2 linked regions of the Canis lupus familiaris genome follow. The protein of the gene in region 1 binds, or shares a complex with, the protein of each later gene. Links are inferred from orthologs where the notes say so. Each region holds a gene or a part of one and is shown on either strand. Other genes may lie near its edges.

The links.
Region 2: the proteins of KCNJ4 (region 1) and TAX1BP3 are in contact, whole or in part, in a crystal structure (PDB 3GJ9), measured with the Homo sapiens proteins. The link is inferred for Canis lupus familiaris from reciprocal best matches to the Homo sapiens genes KCNJ4 and TAX1BP3. Residues at the interface, in NP_004972.1 of Homo sapiens: Arg440, Arg441, Glu442, Ser443, Ala444, Ile445; in NP_055419.1 of Homo sapiens: Leu27, Ile28, Leu29, Gly30, Phe31, Ser32, Ile33, Gly34, Gly35, Asp38, Gln39, Gln43, Asn44, Thr58, Arg59, His90, Asp91, Arg94, Leu97, Thr98.

Annotation. Positions count from the first base shown.
Region 1 is NC_049231.1:27,317,438-27,328,523, forward strand, and holds the start of KCNJ4 (inward rectifier potassium channel 4), read left to right. Parts: upstream 1-4,509; 5' UTR 4,510-4,723; intron 4,724-6,078; exon of another isoform or gene 6,079-6,135; intron 6,136-7,303; exon of another isoform or gene 7,304-7,486; intron 7,487-9,668; exon of another isoform or gene 9,669-9,817; intron 9,818-11,086. Other genes in the region: uncharacterized protein LOC119876745, read left to right, coding at 37-174, 3,560-3,811. UniProt on the Homo sapiens protein: Inward rectifier potassium channels are characterized by a greater tendency to allow potassium to flow into the cell rather than out of it.
Region 2 is NC_049230.1:47,458,687-47,469,764, reverse strand, and holds TAX1BP3 (tax1-binding protein 3), read left to right. Parts: upstream 1-4,585; 5' UTR 4,586-4,730; coding exon 4,731-4,769; intron 4,770-7,666; coding exon 7,667-7,786; intron 7,787-8,168; coding exon 8,169-8,246; intron 8,247-8,547; coding exon 8,548-8,685; 3' UTR 8,686-9,529; downstream 9,530-11,078. Other genes in the region: EMC6 (ER membrane protein complex subunit 6), read right to left, coding at 3,841-4,173. UniProt on the Homo sapiens protein: May regulate a number of protein-protein interactions by competing for PDZ domain binding sites. Binds CTNNB1 and may thereby act as an inhibitor of the Wnt signaling pathway. Competes with LIN7A for KCNJ4 binding, and thereby promotes KCNJ4 internalization.

The sequences.
Region 1 (11,086 bases):
TGACTCCCAGGGCAAGTCAGTCCTTTGAGACTCAGAATGTGGTCCAAGGGCCAGCAGCATCTGTATCGCCTGCTGGAAGTGCAGTATCTCAAGCCCCACCTCAGATCCATTGAATCTGAATCTGTGGTTAAACAAGATCCCCGGCTGACTCGGCTGACTCGTGTGCTCATGGAAGTTTGAGAGACACCGATCCAAACAACATTATGAGGGAAGTACTGCTATTATTCCTATCTTACACTGGGGAAACTGAGGCACAGAGAGGTTAAGTCATTTCCTTAAAGTCACACAGACACTTAGTGTCTAGATTCCAACACATAGTCTGACTCTGGGGTTTATGCAATAAGTGTGTGTGTGTGCTTTTAAAGATTTTGTTTTTAAGTAATCTTTAATTGGGTATAGACCTAATATGGGACTCAAACTCACGACCCAAAGATCAAGAGTTGCATGCTCCTCCAACTGAGCCAGCCAGGCACCCCCAGGGTTTATGCAAATAAATTTTTTTTAAGATTTTATTTATTCATTCATGGGAGACACACACCGAGAGAGGCAAAGACATAGGCAGAGGGAGGAGATGCAGGCTCCATGCAAGGAGCCTGATGCTGGACTCAATCCTGGGACTCCAGGATTACACCCTGAGCTGAAGGCAGATGCTCAACCACTGAACCACCCAGGCGTCCCTTGCAAATAAATTAATACATCACACTGTGGGTCATCTTGGGGGGGGGGGGGCGTTGATGACACCCTTTGTCACCAGAGGTGGGAGAGCAGGGAATTGGCCCATTTGCCAAAGATGCTGCAGCAGGGACTCCTGCCCTGGCAGGGAGGTTGGGATGACAACAGCCATCAAGCATTGAGCATTGACTGGGTGCCAAGCATGGGTCAGGCACTTCGTTAGTTCTCTCCGTTCAGCCTCAACAGGCACCCTCCAAAGTCAGCTTTAAGTCCTCACTTTTCAGGTGACAGCTCTGAGGTCCAGGGAGGTGAGATGCATGGGCCAAGTCTTTCTGGGAGGAGGAGCCAGGCACTCATCTCAGGGCTGTGACAGGTTCTGAATGGGCTGCTCTGTTCCCACTCCAGTCCTGCCCAGATGCCTCTCTTCCAGCATCTCCTAGAGAAGGCGGTGGCTATTTAAACCCCTCAGGTGTGGCTACGGTTCTGGGCCCTACCAGCTGGCATCTCCTTCTCAGCGCCCACCTTCTCCCCAAGCCAGGGAAAAGCACGTGCATTTGCCATTTGGTGAAACATCTGTCCTCCTGAGAAGCAGCCCCAACTGCCAGCGGGGGCTGGAACAAGGCTAGAATTCTCTTCCCTCTCTTTCTCCAGCCATTCCCCCACCCCACCCCAACCAGGGGAACTGAACACGGCCAGGGAAGGTCTGAGAACCACGGAGGTGGAAGGGAGAGAACCCAGGTTGGGTGGCCTTAGGACTGAGATCTTGTCCTGGACCTGCCACAGTGCCCTTGAGCCTGCCATGTCCTCTCCTTTGGCCTCACCTTTCCCATCTGTTAATGGGGATAATGTAGGGAAAAGCATTGTGACTGGTGATTTGGTTCTCCTCACATCTAGTCTTTCCAGTCTCCCCAGGGAACTGATACTCCCTATGTCCCAAGACAGGGAGCTCATCACCCACATTTTTTAAAAAATTAATTATTTATTTTAAAGAGAGAGAGAGCACACAAGCAGGGGGAGGGGCAGAGAGAGATGGAGAGAGACTCTCAGGTAGGCTCCACGCTGACCGCAAAGCCAGCACTTTGGCCACCTGCAACATCAGACACTATGATGCGTGGTTCTGGGCACATCCCAGTCTTGTAAGCCTCACTTTCCTGACACCCAAAATGTGTCTGCTGTAGGCTTGCAGCTGGGGGGAAGCCAAGGGCAAGGGTTCTTTTTCCCTCACTCACAAAGCAAATTGTATATTCAAAGTCAAAGGAGGGAGAATGGGGGAGTAACTCGATGATAGAAAAAAAATGTGTATAATAATCTCTTTTCCTTCCTGGTCCTAGCTCTTTATTACACTTCACCACCCTATTGAAGATCCTGCCAATTGCCTCAAATGCTGTGTGGAAGGAATGTGTGGATGTAAAGTGAAAAACCACTATCCTGAAGATACTCCACCACTGAATTGGCTGCCTTTCACTGGGCAGGGCCCTGGAAAGAATGGGGAGCTATGGGCCCCAGCTCCTGGGACTCCCCACAGGTCACTAGGGGCCGCTATGACATCCTTTGGCATTCTGGCCCGTGGAAGGAAAGAACTCTTCCCTGGGCACCCTGAGGTCCACTCCGAAGGCAAGGTCAAGTCCATTCCCTAACCTAGGCTGAGGGCAGGCTTTCTCTTCCTGTGGTTCTGCCTCAGGTGTTCCAGAAGCATCACCCTCCCCAATATCTTTTGTGACACGCAGCATAGCAAGTGCAGTCCAATTTTTGCACAGCAGGAAACCAACATTCCAAAACCACTCCTCCACTTTCGGTTCCAAGCCCATTTGCTGAAGACCAGCTGTGTGCTGGTGCCTTACAGGTTGAACATAGAGGCAGCCTCACTGAGCCCTTGGGGCACTGTGGGGGGCATGTCTGTACATGGGTTAAATATGGCACAGATGGAGAGTAATTACCCTGGGTTGGCGGGGAGTTAAGAGGAGGATTCCTGTTAAGAAGGCTTCAGTGATGCCCCAGTGGGTTTTGCAGGATGAGTAGGAGCTTGCCTGAAAGACAAAATCTGGGAGAAGAGGCTAGGAGTCCCAAGTAGAAGCAACTACATGTGTCAAGGCACAGAAATATGATATGACCCCCTCTCCCAGCACATTTTATTTGTGCAGCTCTTTAAAAAGAGACCAATAGGGGTGCCTGGGTGGCTCAGTCGGTTAAGTGTCTGAACCTTTGGCTCAGGTCATGGTCCCAGGGTCCTGGGATCGAGCCCCAAATTGCGCTCCCTGCTCAGTGGGGAGCCTGCTCCTCCCTCTCCCTCTGCCTACTGCTCCCCCTGCTTGTGCTCTTTCATTGTCTCTGTCAAACAAATAAAATCATTAAAAAATAAAAAATAAGAGGCCAATAAGCAGGAAAAGGGGAGGAAGAATGAATGCCAAGGCTAGACAGATGTTTGTTCAAGTCTCAAGTGTCACCACTTACTGATGGGCTGTAGGAATTTGGGCAAACTTTCATCTTTCCCATGGGTAACCTGGGTATAAACCAAATACTGACTTGATAGGAGTCAAAGTTAGCTAGGTACCTAAAGCGCTTTGCAAGGAGTAAACCACTCAACAAATGCCAGTCCCCTGCTCCCCTTTATGGGACACCCAGGCCCAAAGAGGATCCGCAAAGCAGAGCCAGGAGAAAACACATTCTGTGTTCTCAGAAGCCGATCACTCCCTCGCCGGTTTATTCCAGAAGTGCAAAAAAGACAATTAAAAATAACCTCGGGGCCCGAGGAAGCCTTCTGGGGCGTTAGAAGTGTTCTGTATCTTGATCCCAGTGGTGATTACACGGGTTTTTTGCATATGTAAAAATCCATCGAGCTGTGCTCTTAAGATGTATTACAGTTTGTAAGTCACACCTCAATTAAAAGAAAAAGAAAAGCATAACAAACCTTGCGACGCCGCCTCCCTTCGCCGCTGGCGACAGGTGTCTGTCTGAGACGCCAAAGACCCCTCGGCGCTCGCGGGGCAGGCCCGGCCCCCGGGCTCCGAGTCGTGCGCCGCTCCGGGGCCGCCGCGGGGTTCCCACGGCAACCGCAAGCCGCTCTCCGCGTCTCCCGAGTGACGAGGCGTCAGCGAAGACCCGGAGCCCGGATCGCCGAACCGGAGCCACGGAACCAACGGTGCGCGGGAGGTGGGGGGGGCGGTTGGGGAGAGGTGGCTGGAGAGAGACGGTGGCTGGCCGAGGGCAGAGGGGAGCGACGGGTGCCCTTCGTCCTTGCGCTGGCATTCTCGGGGGGGGGGGGGGCATCTGGCACCACCCCCTAGCCCGGTGCCCGCCAACTGCAGGATGAATACACCCCTGGGGTTCACTCTCGGTTTTCCAGGTGGGGAGGTGGACCGCTTGGCTGCTCCCCAATATCACAGAGCGAGCGAATCAGGGGCAAAGGCAAGCCCTGCACCCTGGTGGCCTGCTTTCTAGCTTGTGCGGTCCAGCCGAGTGAAGGGTGCATAGAGCTGGGTGCTGGCACCTCCTTGGGCTCTGGTACCAGCTCTGCCAGTAAGCCGCTGTGCGGTCTTCAAGTCCGTTCTCCTGCCTTTGCCGCAGAGATGGGACAGCACCACCGATATCTCAGGGCAGCTGTTACCAAGTGTGTGAAATAACGGGTGTAAAAGTGGCTTATAAACTGTAAAGTGTTGTGCACCTGTTAAGGACCATCACTGCTGCCACTCTATTGTCTTCTTGTCCTCATCATCATTCTGGCCTCAGCTGCAGGCTTGGTGACAACCAGGTGCCCAGTGAACATGGGGCTCCCAACTCCCCCCATGCCCATGGGTTTGCAGTCTCTAGGGTGAGATTTCCTTCCCGGAACATCCCCTTTCCCAAGCAATGGACCCAGCGTAGCTCTCCCAGGCACCAGGGATCCTTTGGTCCCCAGACCACCTACCGGAGGGATTCACAGAGACGGCAGCCTCCACCACCCTCCTGGACACCGCCTCCTAGTCTGCTACCCTGTAGCTGGATCGCAGAAGTGCCCCCACTAAGTGAGGATGTCTGGAGAGCCCAGGACGTGGCTCCTGCACAGAACCCGATGGTAACACCACTTAATGCTCTTTGAATGCCACATGCTGGGCATGTGTTGTTACAGTTGTGTGTTCGTGTGCTGTGAGACCGTATTTACATTGCGGTGCGTGTGTGGGGGTACATGTGCCAGGCGTGCATGCATACATTGGTATTTGTGTGTGCTTGCGATTCATATTTGAGTATGTGTGTGTAAATGTGTGTATTTATGGCTGCGTGGTATGTGCTTGCAGGTGTGTGTTGTGTATTTGAGGCATATGTATTTACCCGTGCATCTATTTGTGTCTGTGGTGGTGAATATGCATATCAAGGAGGGCATTTGTGGGTCTGTACTTGTGGTGTGCACAAGTGGATGTGTAAAACTGTGAGGTCTGTAATCGTGCATGTGTAGGAGTGTGCTGAGGGTTTCGGGTGGGGGGGGCTCTCTTCCCCCCCATCTCCCCTCATCTGGGTGACCTTCCTCCAGCTGAGGACTGTGCCCAGGCTAGCTCTTGCCCCCTCTGCAGACCTGTGGCTGCTCTGGTCATTGGCTTGCCCCATCTTGGGGCATGTGGGCAGCAGGAGCAAGGGCGGATGGGTGAACCTGGGTCCAGGGCTCACATGCCACCCCCTCCCCTTCTGGCCTCCTCCCCTCCCCACAGCAGGAGCAGCAGCGGGAAAGGTTGGCGGAGGGGGGCTATTTTGGGAGCGTCTCCTTAGCAACAGCTGCCACGGCCGTCTGTGGCGGTTTTTCTATAGGTGCTAAAATATTCCACCCTGGTGACTACTGAGTGCTGGGGGGTGGGCGAGGGGGGGAGTGGAGGGCGGGAGAGACCCCTGCAATCCTCCATTCCCAGGGCATAGCCGCTGGGATGGGTCTTGGCCCTGTGGGCTCCCATTACCCCTTTCCCCACCATCCATCCTCACCCCTCAGGGCTGCTGGGACTTCAGAGTTCTGAGGCTGGCCAGCTGTGTCCTGGTCTGATTCCTAATCTAAGCAGCTGGGCTCCCTCTGTTTGCCCCATCTGTAGAATGGGCTGGCCAGACTTTCAGGAACTCTCTAAGTCCCAAACCCCTGGACTCTGTGACTCTGGCATCTGGAAGTGGCCCCTGGTGGCCCACCTCCCCCACTCCTCTCCCAGCTTGGCTCAGGCCCTCCCACCTGCAGTCCTCCAGGCCTTCTGTGCCTGCTCTCAAGGCCTCTATGGGACCAGGGAGGCCTGACTGGTCTCCTAGAGTGAGCCAGTTCACGAGTGCTCTGCTGGCCTCAAACGACCTCTCCCCAGAAACTAGGAATGGATTCCAAATGTGGCTGAGACATTTGCTTACTCCCTGAGTGACCATGGGCAAGGCACTTCCTCTCTCTGTGTCTCAGGTCGGTTTCCTCACCTGTGAATGAGGGATAGTCCTAGAGGCTCCCTCATGAAGACACTGGGAGGATCATCTCTGAAAATGGAAAATGGGCCAAGAAGCTTTGGCAAAATGTTCAGTTGGATGAACGTTTTACCATCACTACCTATCAAACTTCAGAGCAAGTCTTGCCCTTCCACAGAGTTGTCCCTGGCCATGTACCAACATGGCCCATGCCTCAGTTTCCCCATGGGTAACAAGCGCCTGCATCATAGAGTTCTGGTAAGGATTAAATGAGACAATGCCTGTGCAAGCCTAGAATAGTGCTGGGCTAATGGTATCACCCCCAGGGGCGTCTGCTCCCTTCACTCTTCCCAGGGGGCGCTTTGGTGTTGGATGACCACAAAGCCTACTTGCCTTTTGGGGACCCAGTCCAGACTGTCCCATTACAGATGAGGCTCCTGAGGTCCAGAGAGGATAAGCAACTTGCCCAGGGTCGCCCAGGTTCTGACAGCCAAGCCTCTACCCGCTGCCCCTGTGAGCCCCTGCACACCTGTCTCACATCCCTCCTTGCCTCCACCTCCCCACCCCTGCCCTTCTCAAATATGGGCTGGACAATAGGGAATTCCGCCCCTAAGCTCCCATCATCTCAACTGTGGGGCTATTATCCTATGACACAATAGGCTGTCATACAGATGAGGACACTGAGGCACGGAGACAAGTGAGCTGTCCAGAGTCACATCAGGCTTGGGGCAGAGCGGGGTGGGGGGGGAGGTGAAGGGACTCTTTTTCCTGGGGTCCCTGAACCTCTCTCTGGCTGGAGCTGCCTTTTCTGCCTCTTCCCACCTCCTCCCAGTCACTCCCAGCCTCCACCAGACCCTCCTTGCAGGAGGATCCCAGGCTACAGCCCCAGGAGGAGGGGACCATTACCAAATGTTTCCTCTCAGGCTTATGATGTCACAGCCACCAGGCTTCCCCCTTCCATCTTCCAGAAGTCTCTGTCCCTGAGCTCCTACCTTTCCCTTGAACTTGTGCCCAGTGACCCAGCATCAGGACTGACCCCACAGGAGCAGAGGCTCTAGGTCTACAGACCCCTCAGTCTCCATTCCCCGCCCCCTTTGCCCCTCCCTCCTTGCCCTGCACCCCACATTTCCAGGGCAGCCAGCAGGCAGACCTCTGGCTAGGTGAAGAGACCACGGGTCATTTGCTTCTCCTGCACCCTCCCAATTTCCACGGAAAGTTGTGACAGTGACCAGGCACTTACCTGCCACTGACCGAGGATTCAGATTGCCTAAGTTCATGCGCATCAAAGATTCATGTGAAGGAACACAGTCCTGGCTGCCTGCCTGTGAGGACACCGCAGAGTTAATGAGGGAGACGGGCACGGAATGGGTCATCTGCTATGGGGCTCCCCGCGCGCGGTTGAAGGGAGAAAGGATGGTCATGTTATTGACTGCCTACTGTGGGCTGTGCATTTCTTGTGCATCTATCTCTCCTAATCCGTCCCTGTGATGGGGAGGGACTGTTAAGGACCCCATTTTGCAAACAGGTTGGATAAGAACTTGGAGTATGAGGGCCAGATGAATGAATGAGTGGGTAATGAATGACTTCTGCTGGGGGCATCAGGAGGCCACCCCAGGGGCTGAGAGAGCACTAGGAATTCTCTGGGCAGAGGAGGAGGAAGGGCACTTCAGGCAGGAAGAACAGCACCGGCAAAGGCAGAGAGGTGCAGAAGCATCTGGTATGTTCTGGAATCTGTGGGAATCAGGGTGTATGTGTGGGTATATAGGGTGCTGGATGAGGTGGGGCCTGACTGTACATCATGCTGAGGAGTTGGGACTGGATCCCAACTGGAGGTGGGGAGGATCCACGGGGAAGGGAGACAGTCATGGTGGTTAATGTGCTGGACACATGCTTGGGGACCCACTGGGAGAAAAAGCTGGAGGTTTCATCCTCAAAAAATTCTCAATCCGGCTTTGGGGTGCCTTAGTCTCTCCTGAGACTAGCCACAGATGGGCAGGATACCAGGGAAGTTCTTCTGGCTGTCTAGCTATAGGTGTTTTCTCATCCTCCATCCTAGTGAAGGAGCACTTTCCCTCCTCAGAGAGTCGGGGTGAGGTGGCAGGGTGGCCAGGGAGGCGGCTCGCTGTCCTTGGGGGGCTCTGAGGTGGTGGAGTCAGCTCCCCACAGCCCAGAGCGCGCAGCCCAGACCTGGAGCTCACTCAGACCGGGATCCTCCCCTGTAAAGACAGTCTGGAGTAATGCGGCTGCAGAGAGTAAGAGTCTGGGGTTTGGTCCAGCTCCGCCACCTCCGGGTGACCTTGGACAAGCTCACGACCCTCTCTGGCACTCAGTCTCTCAGTCTGTAAAATGAGGCGGTGCTGTCTAGGTGACTGTGAGGGTCCCCTGCAGCCATGCACGCCAGCCCCCGGCTCCCGGAGCACAGTACGTGGGGTCATTAAGTGCCGGTACTGCAGGAGGGGAAGGGGACCGCGGAGCAAAGTGGCCCGGAGCCTCCGAACCCAGTACAGACCCTCTCCCACGCACCCCCTTCCCGGCCCGGAGGAACCCTACCGACCTGCCCCCGGGGGTTGCAAAACCCGGAGCGGATTCTCGGAATGGGTTCTGGGAGGAGCGCTCCCGGAGGGAGGAGGAAAACCCGGGCAGGATCCGCGGCAGGAGCGGGGCCCCACGGCCCCTCGGCCCCCAGCCCTGCCCCGCGCGCCCGGCGGGCCCAGGGGGTTTGAAGCCCCGCTGCGCCGCGGGGAAGGAGCCGGGCCGGGCCCCGCGGGCCGCCCGGGGCCCGGGGCTCGGGGGCCGGGGGGGGGGCGCGCGGCCTCCGCACTGGGGCGCGGGTCACGTGTGAGGAGGGGCGAAAGTCTCGCAAAGCGGGGCGGCGTGCCGCGAGTTGGGAGTTCTCGGCGCGCCGCGGGCGGCGGGAGCTCGGGCTCCCGGGCGAGCCGGGGACGCGGCGGAGGCGCGGGCCTGGGTCCGAGACAGCGGGGGCCGCACCGAGAGTGGGAGGGAGGGAGAGACACGCAGAAGGACAGACGGCGCCCGGGAGGAGGACAGAGAGAGACGCGCAGGGGAGACCGAGACAGGGCAGAGGCGGAGGGAGGCAGGGGAGGCTCTGGGAGGGCGGCGGGCAGCAGACCGAGCCCCCGCCGGGAGACACGGGAGGCGGGCTCGGGGACCGAGGGGCGGACGGACAGACGCACGGAGACCCCGGGGGCAGCCCGGCGGGCGGCGGCGGGTCCCGGGCCGGCCGGCCGGCCGAGGGCTTCCCGGGGCCGGGGCGGGGAGCGGGGAGCGGGGAGCGGAGCGCGGGGCGGGGAGCGGAGCGCGGGGCGGGGAGCGGCGCGGAGAGACAGCGCGACGGCAGCGGGGGGGCGGCGGAGGGCCGGCGGCTGCGGCGGGGGCGGGGGGCGCGAGCGCGGGCGGCCGAGGCCATGGGCCCCCGGATCTCCGCGCCCTGAGCCGGGCCCGGCCCGACGATGCTGACGCCCAGGCGGCGCCGGGGGCGCGGCGCGGGGCAGCGCTGAAAGTTGAGCGGCCCGCGGGGAGCGGCGCGGGACGGCCCCGAGGCGCGGAGACCCGGACACCGACGGACAGACCCACCGGCAGCCGGGGAGGGGGGCGGGGCCGGCCGGCCGAGTGCGCGGGGAGGGGGCGCCGGGACTCCCCTCTCCCCGCCCGGGACGCCGCCCGCCCGCCCGCGCCGTGGGATGTAGAGCCCGCTCGCCGCCTTCTGGACCTTCGTCGGACCCTCCGCCCCGCGGTAAGCCGGGCGCACGCCCACCGCCGGCGCTGACCGTCTGTCTGTCCAGCCGCGTGCGTGTCTGTCTGTCCCGTCCCGGGTGGGGGGGGCCGTGGGCCCCGCCCGCCCAGCACCTTATCCCTGCGGGTCTCGGCTGCGGGGCCCGCGTTCAGCGCGGTCCAGTGACTCCCAGGGAGCTGGCAAGCGCTGTCGCTCTGTCCGTCGGTCCCTTCGGGAGCGTGAAGGTCTGGGTTGTGGCCAGAAAGGTGGAGAGGGGTGGGTGGAAGAGGCCTTGACCTCCTGCCCCAGCCTCGACCTTTCCCTGCCTCCACCCACCCCCAGTTGTCAGCCTGTTCTGAGGAGCTTCAAGGCAGGTGACTCCTGGCAAACGCGTGTGTGTGTGTGTGTGTGTGTGTGTGTGTGTGTGTGTGTAGGGGTCCCCTTTCCACTTCCCCAGCTGCAACCTGTTTGCAAATAGCCCTCTGATCTCACGGAAAATAACATCCCACTTCTCATGTTTGAGCACCTACTTTGGGCCAGGTGACCCCCAAGGAGGGTGGACAGGGATCCAGCAAAGAAGGTATTTCATATTCATAGTGGAGAGAGGCACAGACTGCTCTTCTCTCCCTACAGGAGAACCCCAAGGGAAGAGAGGTCTGAATGAGCCCCTGAGCAGGGAAACTTCTCTGGCTCCCCAACCAGCATCAACATCACACTTCTGCCTCCAGCCGAGGCTCTAAGATGGGGAGAGAATGCAGGGAGATGGTAGGTGGGAGTGTGGTGGAGAGGCAGGGCAGCCTGGCTAAGTTGGCAAGCCAGGGCCTCAAGACCAGCAGGATGCTGAGCAGCAGGTTGAGGGAATGGAGGAGCTGAGGAATGGAGGTCCCAGGGCCACGCTTGTGAGACCCAGGGAGGAGCCAGACCTGTGTGCATGTGTGTGTGTGTGTGTGTATGTGTGTATGTAAAATGCCTGTTCTGCTTCTCCCCACATCCAGTCCTGTGACCTCCAGGGCTTCCGGAGTTTGGGGAGCTGTTGTCAGGACTTTTTGGGCCCTGAGAGCCACGATGTGGCCCTGCCTTGGCCTGGGAGGAGAGGAACAAAAGACAGAGGAGAGCAGTGGGATAAGGTCTGGGTTGCAACATGGCAGGAGCAAAGGCTGTTGGCCATTGAGCTGACCCGTATCCAAGTTGGAGCCGGGAGGGCTGAGCCTAGAACATTCGACTGTTCTCCACAGGGAGGAGGGCTCTTTCTGGGGCTTTCCACACTGAGAAGTGGGCTTCGCATACCCT
Region 2 (11,078 bases), on another chromosome or scaffold:
CCCCCTAGTGGCTGCAGAGCCTCACTACTTCACATGTGGCCTGTGGACTGGCAATATGGGCATCACCTGGGAACTTGTTGGAAATGCAGTCGCTGCCCCATCCAAATCAGAACCTGTGTTTCAACAAGACTCCTAGGTGACTGTTGTGAACATTGTTGTTTGAGAGCACTGGTTAAGTAGATAAGCAAAGCCTGGCTCCAAGGAAGGAAGAGGCCAGCTTTGGTAGGTGCTGCCAATTTCTAGGTCAGACAGAGCAAGAAGATTCCACCCCACCGCCACCCCCAGGAAAGGGGCAAGCTCAATGTATTTGAATTAAAATATTTTGACTAGATAATTTATGTTAAAAGATTATAGACAGTGAAAAGCTTCCTTCCCACCCGTTCAGAGGCAACTTGTGTTACCAATTCCAAGAGGCTCTCCTGTTTTGCTGACAACCTACCGGGTTACTTGTGCCCTTACTAAGGAAATGAAAAGTTCTTTTCCTGATGTCTGCAACACCAGACCAAGTCTCCTGTCAGAAAGGGACACGGTGGAGTACACTTAGGTACTGGGCTGAGGGGGGGGGGGGGTCGCTCACTTCTCCCTCTCCCAGTATCTGAGGAGTCCCTATGTAAACCCAAGGGGAGAGATGTAGAGCTCATCACTCACCATTGTCTGATGGTTCAGTAGCAAAGGCTTGCAGTGCTGCCTCTGGCCCAAAAAGACCCAGTATTTGGTTTGCACAGACCCTGGCCTAATGCCACCTACCTGGTATGTTCCTAATGATTAATTCCATGCCTTGGGAGTGCCATGATGCTGGCCAATGGGATTTGTAAACTGAGTGCTATCAAGTGGACCAGCCATGAAAGAGCTAAGTGCCCTCTACCCCTGTTGTAGGGGTCACCGGGACTAACTAGTCACGGCTGCCTTTGTGCCCCAACGCCTCATCAGTTCTTCCTTTCTCAGTGCTGTAAAGGGGGAACAGGATTTCCTCCAGGTGTCTGAGTACCCCAGCTAAGGACAACAGTGTCCTGCAGAGTCCCTAAGTCACCCCACTTGGAATGGCATCTTGCATGTCTGAAAAAGGGCTCCACTTGATTGCAGCCCACCCTCCTCCACCCAGATGATGCAGCTCCCCTCAAGAGCATTCTCTCCAGGGACTCTTCAAAAGGCACACCTTTCTCCCAGCTATTTGTTTCCCCTTAAGCCGAAGTGCACAGACTCAAAAGGAGGAAAGACGGCAACCATTGTCTGGGACCTGCCTTATAAATGTATTAATATTTTTATTTGGCTATAAAACAATAAAAGGTTTTAACTTGAAAACTATTTTTTTTTAAAGATTTTACTTATTTACTTCATGAGAGACACAGAGAGGCAGAGACCGGCAGAGGGAGAAGCAGAGCCTACTTATGGTGGGACTCGATTTGGGGACTCTGGGATCATGCTGAGCTGAAGGCAGATGCTCAACAGCTGAGCCATCCAGGCATCCCTTGAAAACTAGATTTTCCCCCCCTTCCTATCTTTTCAGTCACTCTGTCTCAGAGGAAAATGTAAGGAGAAAGTGAGAACAAAAGAGGCGGACACAGAAACCATCAGTGAACAATAAATTATGTTCCCTATTGTATTACAAAGAAATTCAAATGGAAGTAAGGAAACTCTTTAAATGAGCAAATATTAAAGACTGGGAAGACACAATAGAACTGGTACATTTCCACTCAATGAGGGTAATCTGATAAAACTCTGGAAATCATTTGGAATCAAGTTATCTTCTGCTTTAGGAGTTTATTAAGTTCCCTCAAAATGATATCAAGACATTCTCTGCAATATTTTTTATAATAGTGAATATTTCAATCTTTAAGTAAATCAGCTCACTTATTCTGCACCCCCAACCCCCGATCCAGTAGGACTGCTCTTTATTCCACATCACAAACCTTCCCATTTCACTTAGGGAAAGCCCTCAGGACAGGGAGGTTGAGAAGGGCATAGTGTGCAAACCATACCTGTGAGCCTCTTCAGCAGTGGTCTGAAGAGGGTTCAGAGGTCACTGGGTGAGTGAAGGAGGCAAAGCTGTGGCCTCACCTGCTTCTTCCCTTTGAGTGCATGCTTGGGTCCCAGATCTATCTCTGTTATTGACCATGGGCCATGTACTGTCTGTAAAAGGGGATTTGGATTCAAGTTCTCAGATCTTCTGATCTGAAATGGATTCTTTTTAAGAAAAATCCAATTGTGATCCCATCACTCCTGGCTAAAACTTCCAAAGGCTTCTCCCAATCGCTCTTAGGATCAAGGCCAACATCCCCACTGTAGCCTTCCATGACTGATCCAAGTCCTGGTCCTGGCCTCTTCTCTAACTCTCCAGGTACAGGCCAAACCCCTTCCTGCTGCCCAGTGGTCCTCACACTTGTGTGTGTGTGTGTGTGTTTTTTTAAAATTTCATTTATTTATTCATGAGTGACAGAGCGAGAGAGGGGCAGAGACACAGGCAGAGGGAGAAGCAGGCTCCATGCAGGGAGCCTGATTTGGGACTCGATCCCAGGTCTCCAGGATCACACCCTGGGCTGCAGGCAGCGCTAAACCGCTGCGCCACCGTGGCTGCCCAACACTTGTGCTTTCTTGAATGTAGCTTCTTCTTCATACTTGTTATTCAACTCTGAGGTCTCAAATGTAATCTCAAAGGATTTTTAAAAAAAGATTTATTTATTTTGAGAGAGCAAGCAAGCACACACTGAGGAGGGGGGTAGCCTGCTGAGCTCTTAGGCCGAGGCAGGGCTCCATCCTGAGAGCCTGAGATTACCACCTGAGCTGAAATCAAAAGTCAGATGCTCAACTGACTGAGCCACTCAGGCGCCCCTCAAAGACTTTACTGATCCCTACTCCCCAACCTGGGCTCAGTTTAGGGCTCCTCTGTTCTCACTTCACAGCACTTATCAAAATTTAAATATTTGTGAAATTAGGGAATACCGGTCCTCCCAGTTAGACTATAAATTCCATGAGCAACACGTTCACTACTATAACTCTAATGCAATATGTTATCTTTCAAAGGTATGCACTTTATTCTAAGATACCCCCTTGACAAGAAGGGATCATGGGTTAGCACACAGACAAAAGCATTACATTCTAAACAAGCCCAAACTTTAGCTTAAATGTCGTCTATTTAATCTCCATTAGACATATTCTAGAAAAGAGCTTGAAGTTGTTTAAAAAGGAAATGACAGCTAGCTGTTGCTAGATGAAATGGAACTGAAATGGCACGACTCATGCCTGAAAGCAGTGGGTACAGAGAGGGACGTCTGGGGTCTGAAAAACGGTACACTCAGCCAGTGCAGCAAGAGCAATTAAAAGACCTGTATCTGGAACTTGGCTGCCTCTTTCTAGCTGTGCCTCTCTGTGGCAGAGGTCCGTGTAACCTGAGCCTCAGAATCATCAACGAGGGATACTAATTCTATCTACCCCACAAGGATATTGCTAGAATGAAATGAGACAACGGGTGTACAGGGTACAAGGCACCATGTTTTGGCATGTGGGAAACGCTGCTAACAGTAAGTCCCTCTTTACTTAGGCCCTAGTAGTCTCTCTGGATGGCCTATGTATAAATGCAAGGAAATTACAGAAGGCTGAGACCCAGACCCAGCTCTCTAGGAGCCAAACCCTGGCGATTCTGCACCCACGGCAGACATGGGCTATGAGTTAAGGTAGGAAAAGACTCCACGAAGTGTCTCACGCTTCATTTAATCTGAAGAATGGTACAGGCTCTTCGTCTTCAGATATAAATTATCAGGTTACAGAACAAGCAGCGAATTCAACAATTTAAAAACTAAGTCTACACGGTGTTAATCTCTGACGCAGTCCTCCCAGTCTGGTTCAGTAGACGTGCACCATGCCGTAGAGGAACGTCCAGAACAGGACGTAGGTGAAGAGGCCGCCGACCAGGCCGCCGGTGAAGAGAGGTCTGCGTGACTTAAAGTACTTGTTCCACCGCCTTCCCGCCTTGAGGATCAGGAGCAGGGAGAGCAGGACGGAGGCGAGCAGGTAGAAGATGAAGCCGTAAAGGCCGGTGAGGCCGAGGATGCCGGCCGTGGCCCCCGACAGCGCGGACACCGAGGTGCGGCAGTAATCGAGGACGGCGGCGTTGCCCCGCACAGCTGCCTCGCTGATGAACGGCGGCCCTTCCCGCTTGGCCACCACAGCGGCCATCGCACTCGCCGCGGCTCAGCCTCTACTTTCCCGCGGAGCTGCGGAGGAAACCCGGGGACAAATGGCCTCCGGCGCCTGGCGACTTGCGAGCACGCCGCCCGCCCCCCCCCCCCCCGCCCCCGACTCCCAAGGCCTCGCACCACTCCTGGATCTCGGGCCTTCCAAGGACGCAGAGGGGGCTGAGGGCTCGGTTCGGCCTGCCCCGGCTCGCCCAGTTACCTGCAACACGGCGGCGGACACAGACACAGACACGCGGCGTTCCTTCAGACGGCCAGCGGCACAGACCCGCCCGGCGCCATCTTGCGCTGGAGGGTGCCGGGAGGGCTCTCGCTGCGCACGCGCCGAACCCGCGCTCCCGCCCCCGCCGCGCACGCCGCGGGCGCCCCCGCCCCCTACGCACGCACGGGGACTTCCGGCCGCTGACTGGCTGGGCTTGTCAACGACTCCTGAGGGGCGGGCGGAGCCCGGGCGCCTTTGTTAAGCCGGCAGGGCGCGGCCGCTGGGACTCTGGCTGCGGGCGTCCCTGAGCTGCGCCTGGCCTCCGGTTGCGGGTCGAGATGTCCTACATCCCGGGCCAGCCGGTCACCGCCGTGGTGGTGAGTGCGCTCGCCCCTGTTGTGCAGATCGGCGGACTGACGCCCCACACGGGCCGACGAAGCGCTGAGCCCGGGCGGCTGCCAAGCGGCGGCCGGGCCCGGGCCCTGGCTCTGCCCCGCGGGACCGCGGTCTTCCCCGGCGGGCGCCAGGGACGGCGGGACCCCAGCGCCTGCCGGGCACCTGGACCCGAGGCCAGCCCCGCGCCCTGCCGCCGCTGCGTTGGGCTCCGTCCAGCCGGCGGAGAAGGTCCTCAGCCGCGGGGTGCGGGGAGAGCGCCCGTTCCCGGCTGAGCTCCCAGCGGGCAGCCGCGGGGCGGGGCGGGGACAGCCGGGAGGCGCTGCCCCGGGAACGAGGAAGTGCTTCCTCCGCTGCGGGAGACGCCGCCGCCGCCGCCGCCGCCGCCGCCCCGAGGGACAGTTGGGGGTGGAGGCGGCCGGGGCGGAGGGGCAGGCCCGACTGTCCGCCGGCCTGGCGCGCTCGGACCCGGCCCCGCTGCTCCACAGTGAGGGCACACGCCGCTGGCGGGCTCCTGCTGCAGACGTTCCCTGGCTTCTCACCCCTTGGGACAAAGTCCGGGTTCCCCGCCCGGCGCTGGGCCAGCCTCGGCCCCTGGCTCCCCTCCACCGGCTGGTCTTGGGTGCTAACTGCTAGGGCAGCCAACAAAGGGAAGGAGAGAGCCGGGGACGTCAGTGCCAAAGCTGGGTGGGGTCTGAAGGCAAACTCGGGAGGCGGAGATGGGGAAACTGAGTCCCAGGAGAAATCTGTTGATGCCCAGCCCTAAAGAAAGTCCCCAGGAAGAACCCAGATCTCCGAGAAGAAAGGCCTGTCTGGCAGGAATTGGGTCAGGTACAAGTCCCAGTCCTAGGGCCGAGGGACGGGCGGCCTTATCTCAGCTGGGTCTGCAGGGGAACTCCTGAGTCAGGCGCCGGCACTGATTAAGCTGGCATGTGAACTTGAGCTTAGAGAACCAGCTCTGGCCGGGGCTAGTAAGAAACATTTCTGGACCTGCAGATTGCTGCCCTACACTTCACCCTAACTGCACCAACCTCGCTTTTCTAGATTCCTAGCTGCCTCAGAGAGAAGCGGCCAGGTTTGCTTCTTAGGTGGAAGAAAAGGGGTGTGTAGGGGAGGCGCAAGAAAGAGGCAGTAAGCCGCCTCATCTCACCCAGTAAGTCAGGGACCCGCCCGTGTCTTCCAGCCCAAGGGCCTGTACTCTCTTCTAATCTCGGGGTGGGGCAAAGGTGTGTGTTGGAGGAGGTGGAGCAGGCCTGCAGGAGTTCACGCTTTTGGACTTGAGGACCTATGTCTAGTGGGCTTCAGGGGTCATACTTCCTGCTTCCCCTCTCTTCTGTCCTGGCTGGTCCTCCCCCGGACCTTCTTCAAAACTGTAAGACCACGCTGTCCCAATTCTTGTTAAGACTAGGAACGTGTCTGGCCTCTCCCGCTTGTGTTTTGTATAAGTGCTGCCGAAGCAAGCACATCCTGCTTGTGTTTTGGATTGAGAATGGGCTAGGGGAGGTTTCCTTCCTAGTCACTGCCTTATCCCACGTAGTTAATATTTTGAGAATGTTAAAACCATTTTGACTTCTTCTCTGAGCTGTGGCTCCATGGGTTCATCTGCCTTCTGTCTGGACACTTGCCTGGGTAGCTCATGGCACTCCAAAATGCTTCCCCTTCAGTGTCCCCAGCTGAGAGATGTTTGTGTTCAGCCAGGCCACTTGGCTGGGTGCTTCCTTTCACTGCTCTCTACCACGAGCAGTCCTCAAGTCTGTTGATCTATTTTCCAAGTAGTCATGTCCCCTGGCCTCCACATCCCACCTCTAGAAGACATCCATTCTCCTCCTCCTGACTGCCCAGGTGGTCATTCTAGTATCAAATCTGACCAGGACCAACCTTATTCCTGAACTCCTGAGAACTCTAGTGGGCCCAGAATCAAAGTCAGGTGTCTAAACTGTCACTCCTTTCAAGGTCTGGTGCAAATGATCCCTCTTCTGTGAAGCTCTTCAGGTCCAGATCAAGGCACTCTTTTCTTTCTTCCTTTTAAAACTCAACTTTTGGGGTGGGGTGATCTGGTCTAGCTAGCCCCTACACTCTGGTGATTGGAGGGTGCCTGCTGAGAACTTTGAAAGGGCCCTGGCAGTTTGGGGACTATGGTGGGAGAGCTTTAGAACCCTCCTCTGCCTCCTACACCACACAACAGGGTCTGGGGCTTACAGAGAAACCCCCTCCCTCAGGGCCAGCCTCTAGGGCCTGCACTCCACAGCCTTTCTGATCTGGCCCCAGTCTCACCTCACCTCTCAGTTCCAGTGCTGTACACTCCTCTTGTAGACCTGTATCCTTAGTACCTTCAAGCCTGTGCTTCTGTCCCTTAGCCAGGACAAGCCCTTCCTCTCCTTCATGTGCAAGTTTGAACTTCTCTGCTTTTCCGGAGCATCTCTATAGTCTTGCCCTCAACAAGGCTGGCTCAGCAATGAGTTGCCTCAGCAAGGCACTGGCGTTTCTTTTTCAAGCCTTGTCCCCTTCTGCTCTGTGTGGTCCCTCCCCTGGGTCACAGGCCCCCCATGTAGAGCAGTCACAGCATCTTGACTCTTGGATCAAGAGGGGCTTAGAGTACATGTTGACTAAGGCTGGTGCCTGAGATTAACAGGAAAGGGACAGAGGCTAGAACAGAATATTGCGTAGGTGGTTGTGGCTGAGTTCTGAGTCACAGTCTCCCAGGCCCCCAGTCTCCCAGGCTGGTGGCTGGTAACCGGGTGGAATCCTACAGAGGACTCTGGGCTCCACCCCCATTGGCATGGGTCTGAGCTGGCACAGCAGCCTGAGGCTGCTGCTGGACACAGAGCAGATTCATTGTCCACATACTTACCTGCCCCCAATTTGTTTTTTCCTTTGCTAGCAAAGAGTTGAAATTCACAAGCTGCGTCAAGGTGAGAACTTAATACTGGGCTTCAGCATTGGAGGTGGAATTGACCAGGATCCCTCCCAGAATCCCTTCTCAGAAGATAAAACAGACAAGGTGAGGGGGACCAGGGTCCTGGGACCTCTCCACTGGGGACAAAGGTCTGAGATGGTGGGTACTTCCAGGGCCTTCTTGGAAGGAGTAGACCTCTTGGTCTTTCAAAAATCCTAAGACCTTTTAAGAAATGATAAGTAGGGATGGGGGTGGGGAGCAGACCTCCCAGCCCTAGGAAGGCTCACTCAGAGCCCAGGAGGAACAGGAAGAGGCGAGCAGCAGGGACCAGAGCATGGTGGGGCATCGCTGCTTTCCCCTCGACTGTCTTGGCACAGCCTGTACTAGGGTCAGACTTGGTGCAGTCAGTTGGATGGCTGGGCTTTGCTCTCTGGATTAGGGGCTAGTCCAGTGACACTGGGGCTTGACTTGGGCTGTCTCTTTCCAGGGCATTTATGTCACACGAGTATCTGAAGGAGGCCCTGCTGAAATTGCTGGGCTGCAGATTGGAGACAAGATTATGCAGGTAACATGTGTCCCAAAGGAGGAGATCAAGGCTTGGGCCAGAGGGTCTGAAGCACTCGGGTTGGGGGCTGCCCTTGCCTCCTGGGGCACCTGGGAGACTCACTGAAACTGTTGGGAGCGCATGCTGGTGTTGCTGCCAGAGGGAGCTGGCTCTCTCCTCTGTATGCCTCAACTGTGGTGCTTGGCATCCCCAGCACAGAGACATCAGCGTGCCTGGGTGACCCAGGACCCTAAAGCCCATCCTGCTTCCAGATCCCAGAGGACAGAGAACTGAGGCAGGCTGTATTTTCTCCTTGGGCCAGGTGAATGGCTGGGACATGACCATGGTCACACACGACCAAGCCCGGAAGCGGCTCACCAAGCGCTCGGAGGAGGTGGTGCGCCTGCTAGTGACCCGACAGTCGCTGCAGAAGGCAGTGCAGCAGTCCATGCTGTCCTAGCAGCCCGCTGTGGTCCCTGCCTCGTGCCTGCCTGCCTACAGTGACACCACTTCCATGCTCTGTCTGCCCCTCATCCTGGCTTCTGCTGCATGCTGGGCCCCAGCTCCAAAGGGCCAGAGCTGGTCCCAGAGGCCTGTCCCTGGGGCCTGACCCAGCCTTCCTTCCCCACCTCCCACTGGCCTGAAGCTCTGGGACCAGCTCTCATCCTCAGACACTGAGAATTTAAAATAAGGGCCTGGAGTTGAATTGTAGTCAATCTGCAGCGACCATAGGCTTGGCCCCCAGACCCTGCTGCATGGCCTTAGCAGTGCCCAAATGGGCAGGAGGTCCCCCACAAAGCTGGAGAATGCCAGGTGGGGCCGGGCTTTCCTACAGAGGCCTGGCTGCAGGGCTCGGCCATGCCTCTGTGTCTCAACTCTGCAGCGACTTGTACCCTGTTTTTCCCTTCCTTCCCCAGGAGGGGCTTGACACACTGCCTGAATGGAAGCCAGACAGGCTTATGGTTCACCCCCTCACACCCCCACTTCCCTGAGGGACACTAGCCTCCCCAGGGTTCACCTGTGTACAAGATTTAGATGAAGCTCAAGGCTGACATTTCAGGGCAGTTCTCAGGATTGCCATTTCCTTCTATGCCTATGGGTTTAACTTTATATTTTTTAAATCACAACTTTGATACAAAAGCATTTTTACCTATTTGGAGATGCCAATCTTACTTTTGAATTTAGCTTACTAACTTGTATCTGGGAACAACATGTGTTACTTTGGTTCCTATGGAAATGGGGCAGTGTGAAATTACCCCATACCTGACATCTTGGGTCCAAATAAACAGTGTTGGAATTCACAAGGGGTTTTGCTGAGGCATGGGGCTAGGGATGTCTGGGGGTGGATGGTGGCTAGAGCTTTGGTTGTAGGGCTGACGAGCCTGGCCCCCAACCACTTCTGAGATGAGGCCCAGCTGCTGCCAGGCCTGCCTGTTGCTGTTTGGCCAGAGCCACATCTGTGGGAACGTCTGGGAGCACCTCCCTGGAAGTGGGGCAGGGAACTCTTGACTTCCCCTGTGTAACTTAGCTTGTGCTCCACCCGGGAGAGGACTCATGGACACTAAGGGGTTCATGGGACACCCCCACCCCCCGCCAAGACTCTTGAGAGCATAGTTTATCACAGGTAGGATTGATGAGATGGGGGTAAGCTGGAGAACACCAGTGCCTCTGCTTGGCCCAGGACTGGCTGCACGACCAGCTCTGGGAATGATTGCCATTTGAGGGCTTATCTGTAACTGCCAAATCGAGTTTTTCAAATTTTCCATCAGAAACCTGAAATCTCCTATTTTTACAGTGTGGTACCCAGTAACATACAGAGTAGCCCAAATAAAATACGTCTGTGGGGTTGGTCAGGCTGGAAACTGTTTTAGGGAAACAAGATCCTAAATTCTTGGATAGTTGGATAGAAGAATAATTTGAAAAATAAAATGCCCACCCCCCCCACCCCCCCGCCCATAAGAGCACCCTTAACCCATCCAACCCATGCTCCTTAACTCCAGCTTGAGCAACATACCCTTGGTAATGGTACCTGTGTGACCTACCTGGCCCTGAGCAGGCAGGCATCTTGCACTACCCAAGAGGGCTCCCCTGATGAATGCCGGTCGGCATGCAGCCACCTCGCCATCAGCATAGTTTGCAACTCCAGTGTTTCCTTACATGAAGTAAGTAGGGTTGTCTCCTTAAGCCCCAAGAATTGGTTCTGAAGCCAACACACCTACCTCCCACATCTGGCAAGTGCTCAGTGTGCAGAAAGGAAACAAATCATTTTAATTAAGGATATAGGCACCTCACATTAATCTTGTAGTAAAAGGTCTGAACGTGAACTGACAAGGCACATCCTGGCACCCTCCCCTCCTGCCACAGGAAGGACAGCCTGGGATAGAAGGGAAGGAGGTTTGGAATAAGGGTTGGGCCCATGAGGATTGTGTGAGTGGTCTCAAGTCCTTATGAGAGACTCCTGAACAGCCAAAAAGTTGCTCTCAGGTAGGATCTGGGGTAAGTGAAGGAAGGGGGCCAGCCCTCCTCCCCTACAGGGGAGCTTCTCTCACCATTTGTCAGGTCTTCCTGGCCTCTAAGGCAGACTGGTGTGTGTGTGTGTGTGCACGTGTGCACATGCGCATCCACACACCCTACACACCAGCACAAGATAAGGAGCAGTCAAAGGGGATTAAATAGGGTCCCTGACTCTGGGAAAGTAGAGGTAGGCAGAAGGTGGAGACACTAAGCCACCCACTTCCAGAACATCCCTCCAAAAAACCCAAAAGGGGTTAGTGTGATAAGGATCCAGAGGGGTTGGGCACAAGCCTAGCTCAGAACCAATCTGTTGGTCACTTCAAGGCTTAGAAATCTAGT